Drosophila melanogaster: one gene and its partner. The protein of the gene in region 1 interacts with the protein of each later gene in a pairwise test. Each region holds a gene or a part of one and is shown on either strand. Other genes may lie near its edges. The genes, in order: CG4194 and psidin.

What was found.
Region 2: the proteins of CG4194 (region 1) and psidin interact in a two-hybrid assay, tested with the Drosophila melanogaster proteins (one large-scale study listed by BioGRID).

Annotation. Positions count from the first base shown.
Region 1 is NC_004354.4:2,066,907-2,070,441, forward strand, and holds CG4194 (uncharacterized protein), read left to right. Parts: upstream 1-1,685; 5' UTR 1,686-1,700; coding exon 1,701-2,495; 3' UTR 2,496-2,782; downstream 2,783-3,535. Other genes in the region: CG4199 (uncharacterized protein), read right to left, coding at 1-1,517.
Region 2 is NT_033777.3:20,019,733-20,023,658, forward strand, and holds the start of psidin (phagocyte signaling impaired), read left to right. Parts: upstream 1-1,971; 5' UTR 1,972-2,321; coding exon 2,322-2,382; intron 2,383-2,471; coding exon 2,472-2,696; intron 2,697-3,624; coding exon 3,625-3,926. Other genes in the region: PIG-L (phosphatidylinositol glycan anchor biosynthesis class L), read right to left, coding at 1-23, 616-1,150.

The DNA of each region.
Region 1 (3,535 bases):
GTCCTCCATGCTGCCGTCAATGATCACATCCTTGTAAGAGCCATGCCCGGCATACCGAATTCCCTTGCCGAAGATGAGGGTGAAAAAGAAGGGCACGGCCTCCAGCTTCTTTACCCCGCCGCACATGTTGATGGCCGCCACTCGTCCATGGTATTGAGCCAGCTGGTAATGCCCGATGTTCACGCGATCGTGGGCCAGCCCGTGAATGTGGGCGTTTGCTATATCACCGCCCACATACACATCGGGTACATTGGACTCCAGGAAATCAGTGACGTCCACGGATCCGTTACGATTTACCTTCACGCCCGACTTGGCCAGAAATTGGGTGTTGAGCTTGGAGCCAGTGCCCAAGATCAGCAGATCGCAAGGCAGACGCGTGTCATCTACCAGCACCACCTCTGATACCTTGCCGTCTTCGTTGCCAACGATCTCGGCGATGCCGCTCTCCATGCGCATGACCACCTTGTTGTCCTCGAACAGCTGGAGCACCCTCTGACCAATCTCCGCGCCGAATGCGGCCTTAAGTGGGACGTTTTCACGACCCACAACCGTGACGCTTTGCACTTTGGAGACCAACCCAGCAGCTGCCTCCAAGGCGATAAAGCTCGATCCCAGACAGACGACGCGGGACTCCGGGGTGATCGATGCCAATATCGCCTTTGTATCCGCCAACTCTCGGACAGTGCGGACGTTCTCCAAGTTAACACCGGGAATAGGCGGCCGGAAGGCGGAGCAGCCTGTGGCCAGGTAGATTTTATCGTACTTCACCACGTAGCCATTGCTGCAGTGCAGCTCTTTCTGAGCGGTATCCAACTTCTCGGCGGCGACTCCTTGCCACAGTTCGATATCGTACTCTTTGTAGAACTCCTCGTCGCGGAACCGCAGCTGCTCGATCTCAAGGTTCATAGCCTTGGAGATCTTAACGCGATCGTAGGGCAGATAGTCTTCGCGGCACACAAAGATTAGGCGCCCAGTAAAGCCCTCCTGTCGGATGGTTTCCACGGCTACAGCGCCAGAAGGACCACCGCCAACCACGATGAACACTCGCTGATCGTCGGGCTTGCGTCGGACCATGTTCTTGAGTCGCTTGTTATTCACCAGATCCGATCGCTTTGCACGGAGCATCACCTGTCCCTCGTTACCCACTTCCACGCGATAACATGGCAGGGAATCGAGACCAGGAAAGTCCTCAATGTCTCCGTTTTCCAGGTTAAAGCAAGCGCCGTGCCAAGGACAGCGGACACGACCCAAACCCAAAGCTCCAGTCTGGAGCGGAGCTCCGTAATGGGTGCACTTAGCACCCACTGCTAGCAGACGATCGTTCTGCTTCACGAGCAGCACGCGGGTGTCCTCATCGAAGTCCACCTGCTTCATTTCGTTCTCCTTCAGATCCGTAACTCTGCAGTCCACGGGGACCGCACTTGTGTACTCCGAATCCGGCGAAGACTCTTCCGTCGACATGGTTGTACTGGGACTCTGGTTGCTGCACTTGGACTGGTAGGAACCCACGGCACCACCTGCCGAAGCCATCATGTAAAGAGACAAGCAAAGAGAAACGGAGATAACAATACAGATAAGAAGAGTGTGTAGGTGAATGGACACATCAAAATTTTCCAGTTTTTCTCCAAGGGTCCAAGGGAAATTCTGGCACCGCTTGCTGCTCAGGTAGAAACAACAAAAAACGAATATCAGTCGAGAAAATGCTTCGCTCGCGTTCAGAAGTCTTTGTGTGTTTGCTTATGATCCTGGGATCAGTTCTGGTCCGTTCGAATCTTGGGAATCCTCAGGAACTGGAGCTAAGTGCGCTGCGCACCCACAAACAGCTATTGCAGGCGGAGATCGCACGTCTTTTTTTAGAGCAGCCGCTTCGAGCGGAAACTCAACTTCTGCTGGAAGATCTACAGCTAAGAGATCATCAAATAGGCGTTCAGATAGAAAAGCTCGAGGAAATCTCCAAGGGCGAGACCACGCAGAGGCTGGCCATCAATCTAACGGCTGACTTTGAACACCTGCAGCATAAATTGGATGATTTGAAACGACAACTTGAGCTGCTCGACGGACGCTTTGCCTCCCAAGGGAAGCAACTGGAAGGACACTCGTCGGAAGGCGCATCGCCGGCTGGCCCCGGATTAGGTTCCTTTTTGTGGGGACCCTTGCTGACCATGCCAGAGTTTCCACAGGGCAGTGTGGCCAGCGACCAGCAACATAACCACCACCAGCAGGATCATTCCCCGGATCCGCAGCAGGATTCCAGTCCCTCTATCATTAAAAGAGTGCTGGACATGCTTAGGCCATCCATAGGAGTATCAGGTCTGCGGAGTCGTTGGACTGAATCCGCAAAATCAGCTGCAACGGGCTTGGCAACACCTAAGCCCACTCACCCACTTAGTGCTGAGGAGCTCCTACCGCAGCTGCAGGAGCAGCGCAGGTTTCTGGACGATGCTATTACGCGACTGGAGCTCTTGGCCGTCAAGAAGGGCTCGAACAAAAACTAAAATATGTGGAAAATCTAAGTAAATCAAACACTTAAATCCATCTATCCAAAAGTTGAGCTTTGAGATTAAACAGAGGATCAATATTTATTTACTTAAATTGCCAGAGATCATCATTCATAACCAGATTCGTTGAGTCACTGTCAAAAATTCAGAGAAATTATACTATACCAAATAAGTAAAGTTCGTTTCATAATGATTTGTGACCATTTCCGAAAACAATTGAACTAAAATTAGATTGAACAGTCACCTTAATGAAAAGTCTAAAGCAATAAATACTAACTATCTTTAAAACCATGATATGTAATTGTAAAATTGTGTGTGTCAGGGCACTTATTTTAAGCAACACCGAGGATAGGGTAGCAGCTGCCTAATTGCCATCGATGGTTACCTGACCACAACAAAGCGGATCCTAGCGACAAGTCCGAATCGATTGACTCATCCGACCTACTGCAATGTCACGTCAACTAGGCATACCTAAGAACCTCAAGTTGCTACGTCATCAAGAAAAGCCAGGCGGTGAGGAAAACACCTATTGTATAAAGCGTAACCGTAACACCTGTAAACGTGTGTCGGTTCTGTTCTGATATGGCGATAATGTCTACACGCCCCTATCTCAAGTGACTGGCTTTATGATGTATGGTAATATGGTATCGCTGGTATATGTATCGCCGATATGCCCATGATAGAGGAGCTGATGATTCGGCTTTTTGCGGACGGAGGCGTGCTGATCGGAAATCAAACATTTCCATCGAAGCAGCAAACATGAAAAACAGCAAGTCATGAATTACCCAGCGAAACAGATGTAGGGACAACTTTTCCATCGAGTCGGTTAACTTCGACCCTGCACTGTACATTTGCCAATCTCTTTCAGTTCTCTCATCTAATTAGCAATGATTCGCCATGTTAATAACACAGCTGCGTTTTCCACACACACACGGACGCGTATACATGGGAGCAAACCAAACCGGTTGGCCTTGTCCAACTCAAGTGAGTCAAAAGCCAGGCCAAATAATAATAATAATAACAATTGCACGAGAACA
Region 2 (3,926 bases), on another chromosome or scaffold:
CTTCGCCTTGTGCTCGAAGTTGCCTGTGCGAGAAAGCATTGGATTAATACAGTTCATTTTCAAAAGGATAAGGTTGTCATGTGATTGGCATAAAATAATGATGTCATTTTAAAGCACACACTTAAAACAATTTTCAATACATTGAAAGCAGTTATTTAGCGAAACTTAAATAGTAATTGATGATTAAGAAGTCATACAATTATTCCGAATCAGTACGTTATTATATTGAAAGGATTAATAGTTGATTTTTAAATGAATATCTAAATTTTAAAGAAAGAAATATACAAATCGGCCCTACATTACTATCAGCTCGGTATTATTTTTTATTATCTATAAAAAGATAACATCGGTGTAGCCCCTGAATCTTTGCAATAATTAAAATAATAACAGTAGAATGGGCAGGAATATATAACATTTAAAGATTATTAAAAATTCCAATACGGACTACATATATTGCACGAAATCGATTGTTGGCTAACACAAAGAGAATGCTGTGCCCATATGGCAGCAATAAAGCTAAGTCAGATTCGCTACTGATTTCGAAATGTGTACTTTCGTTTAATGCTTCCAGATCTATTGGTGGTTTGGGGATGATGTCACTGCTGGTGGTCTCACCGTTGGACAAGCAGAGTATATACACCTGGCAGCCTTGGCGCTGCGTCAGCGAGTAGATCAGCGGTCCGAAGAACATGCACTCGTCATCCGGATGGGCGGTGATCAGCAGGACGCGCTCCATGCACGCCGTTTTGGGCAGCCGGACGCTACGCAGCCGTATTCCGGACTGAAGGGCCTGCTTCAGGCCGCCAGGACTCCGATTGCCATCCGAACTTGGGTTCAGCTCTGCCCCCTCGCCCGACCCGGCATTGCTGGTGTCGTTGCCGTTGTGGTGGGCGTCCAGTCCCGATCCCGATCCGGCTCCCGAGAGCCAGAAGGTGAGCTTGTAGAGGCCCAGGCATACTAGCAAGTACACCGCACAGGCGATCAGTACGTGCTCCAGTGCTTCGGCGGATGATGACCTGATACGGCAGTAGATGGCCTGAGGATTGGGGACGAGCTGCTGCACCTGCTGCTGCAGTTGGCGCCACGGGGATGTCGATGCAATGCTGCTTGATATGCTGGCCACGTACTCGCTCAGCCAGTTAAATCTCATCGCTCATTGCGTCCGGCCAAGGGCAAGATTTTTGGCGAGAAATTCTTCACCAAAAATGGACATGCAGCGCAATTTGGCAGCGAGGAAAAGCGGAAAAGCGGCGATAACGGTGCTCGGGCGGTTACTTAAACTATTTCACTAAGTGGATGTGTTTCTTAATCGGTAGTTTAATACTTCAAAACGTTTGGTTACGAGCCCGCGCGCCGCCTAATCGGCTAATCTCTGCATTTTATTCGAAAACTTTACGCGTTTTCGACTTTCGGGGGCAGCAGCTAGAGATGGGCAACTGGCGTGGTGCGTGGCAGGTGCGTGACTCACGCTGACTCATTCACGATTTCTAATCAACCTGTCCGGTGCGCCGTGCAACTACAAAGCTTAAATTATCTAATTGGCACTCGAATAAATTGATAAACTCTTTTCTGCCATTCATCGTTCGCTGGCAAGCTACCATTCGTGAGAATATATCAGTCCATCTCTATCGCTCAGCTGTTGGACAAAGTGCCCAGCGGTAGGGGTACTCTTGTCACTGTTTTTATAAAATCTTAAGTTTTTTTTGAAAACTTAATCTGAAATATAAAGAATTACAGTTATGAACATTTCTACTTTTTGAAGAATATCAATACTTTGTTGATCATAGATAATAACAAAATTACTAAAAACTACTATTAGAAATTCACTTTTGTACAAGACATATTCTAACCTTAAAATTCTAAGCAGAATGATTGAATGGAATTTTAAAAGTTTCCCAATAAGAGTATCTTGATGGCTTAAATTTGTGATTTGAGCGAAGACCCCTAATGTCGGCATGCTCTTCTCGAAAAATACCAGAAAATACTGGAGAAAATACAGGGGCCGCTCTCTTCTCACCGAATATGCAGTCTGAGGTTTTTTTTATTTTGAATAAAATTTAAAGTCACTAGTTTCTATGAAAATAAGCACATAATTAGCCTACGACCGTGTGATTCGAGTGCCCGAGAGCCAGCCGCCCGTCCCCGACCGCCCAAACACCGAGGGCAACCCAAGGAGAGCCCCCAAACGATTGCAGGAAATTAATCAACGGCAGACGACAGCGTGCCGCAAAACCCAAAAGAGAGCGAGTCTCAGTTCGAGGTGCATGCAGCACGTTGTAATTAGGTTAGCAGCATACAGCAGCACCACATAACACGATAACATGGCACAGCAGCAGGGCATGGACTCGGCCCTGTTCGAGCGGCGACTGCGGCCGGTATACGGTGAGTGTGTTGTCCGTGTCCACGGCGGAATGAGGCGCTCCATGTGCCGGGTCCACAGTCTCACAGACTAACATCCCAATCCTTTGCAGACAACCTGGAGGTGGGCAACAATCGCAAGGCTCTGCAGGAATCCGAGAAGTTGCTACGCAAACATCCCAACCTGCTCTGCGCGCGGGCATTGAAAGGCCTCTCGCTCCTGCGACTGGGACGCTATGACGAAAGCCACGGATGCCTCCAGACCGTTGCCGAGGAGAAGCCCACGGACGACTCCACGCTGCAGGTGCTGTCCTTCTGCTACCGCGAAATGGAACAACGTACGTATGGGTAAACCACCGGCAGGGCTGATGTACTGAGCCCACGTGGAGCCACCGTTTGCTGGGGATTAGGTTCAGTCAAATGCAAGATTGATAACGTACTAAGCATGGTCTAGGAGGTACATTACCTCAAGTAGAAGTTATTTAGGAGTATGATATAACCAACTAGCCATAAACTCTTAAAGCACGAACCTAGTCTCTCGTTCTAACGCGATGAAGAAGGGCACCAGCCATCAGAAATAACTAATTTGTTCACAAGTAGCTCCTGATAGGCTATAAATTATTAGTTTCATTTATGAATTTGACTTGTGAAGCACACTTTTAAGTTATGAAGAACCTTTTGTAAGTTAATATCCAATTTTAAATCTAAAAACGAAATGCCTGTGTGAGGCAAGGACTCATTGTATGTATAGATAATAATTAAGGATTTAGATTTCTCCTTTCAAATGTGTAAAGGTTACAGGCATTCTAGAATTGAAATTTTATAAAAAGAATAGCTTCCTTATCCATGAGTTAAATGCTTGTATATGTATGTATATGTATATACAAAATATTTTAAAGTATAGATTTAAAGATAATATTAATATTTACTTAAGTTATTTAAATACGAAACCATGGTCGATCAAAGGATACAATTTGTTGAGCTTTTTTAAATTCGATTGACGAATACAAAGCAACATTTTTAAGTAAGAATGTTTCTTAGCCACATCTGTGAATCCCCTAGAGACGCCCCTGCTACGCACACGAAGTGGCCACAATTCATATTTTCGTATTTTCTTGGCACGCGCACCTCGCCCGACTAATTAAAATCGCATTCTCTTAGTCGGACGACGAGTGGCAAGTGCGTGCCAACGATCTGAATATATAGATACCTGTACCTGCGAAAGTTGAAATCGCTAATAATATATAAATATCGGCCTCTTTGCAGTGGACAAAATTGTGGAGCTGTACCAGCACGCTGTGAAGCAGAATCCGGGCAACGAGGAGCTCCTCGCCCACCTCTTCATCTCACATGTGAGGGTGGAGGACTACAAGGCGCAGCAGGCGGTGGCCCTGCAGCTGTACAAGGCGCAGCCGAAAAATGCCTACTACTTTTGGTCGGTGATCAGCGTAGTCTTCCAGGGAATCCGTGGACCGGAATCGGCGCTGCCCGAGAAGCGGAAAATCTACTTGGGACTGGCGCAACGCATGGTCGACAAGCACATCAAGGAGGGCAAAATGGAGACGGAA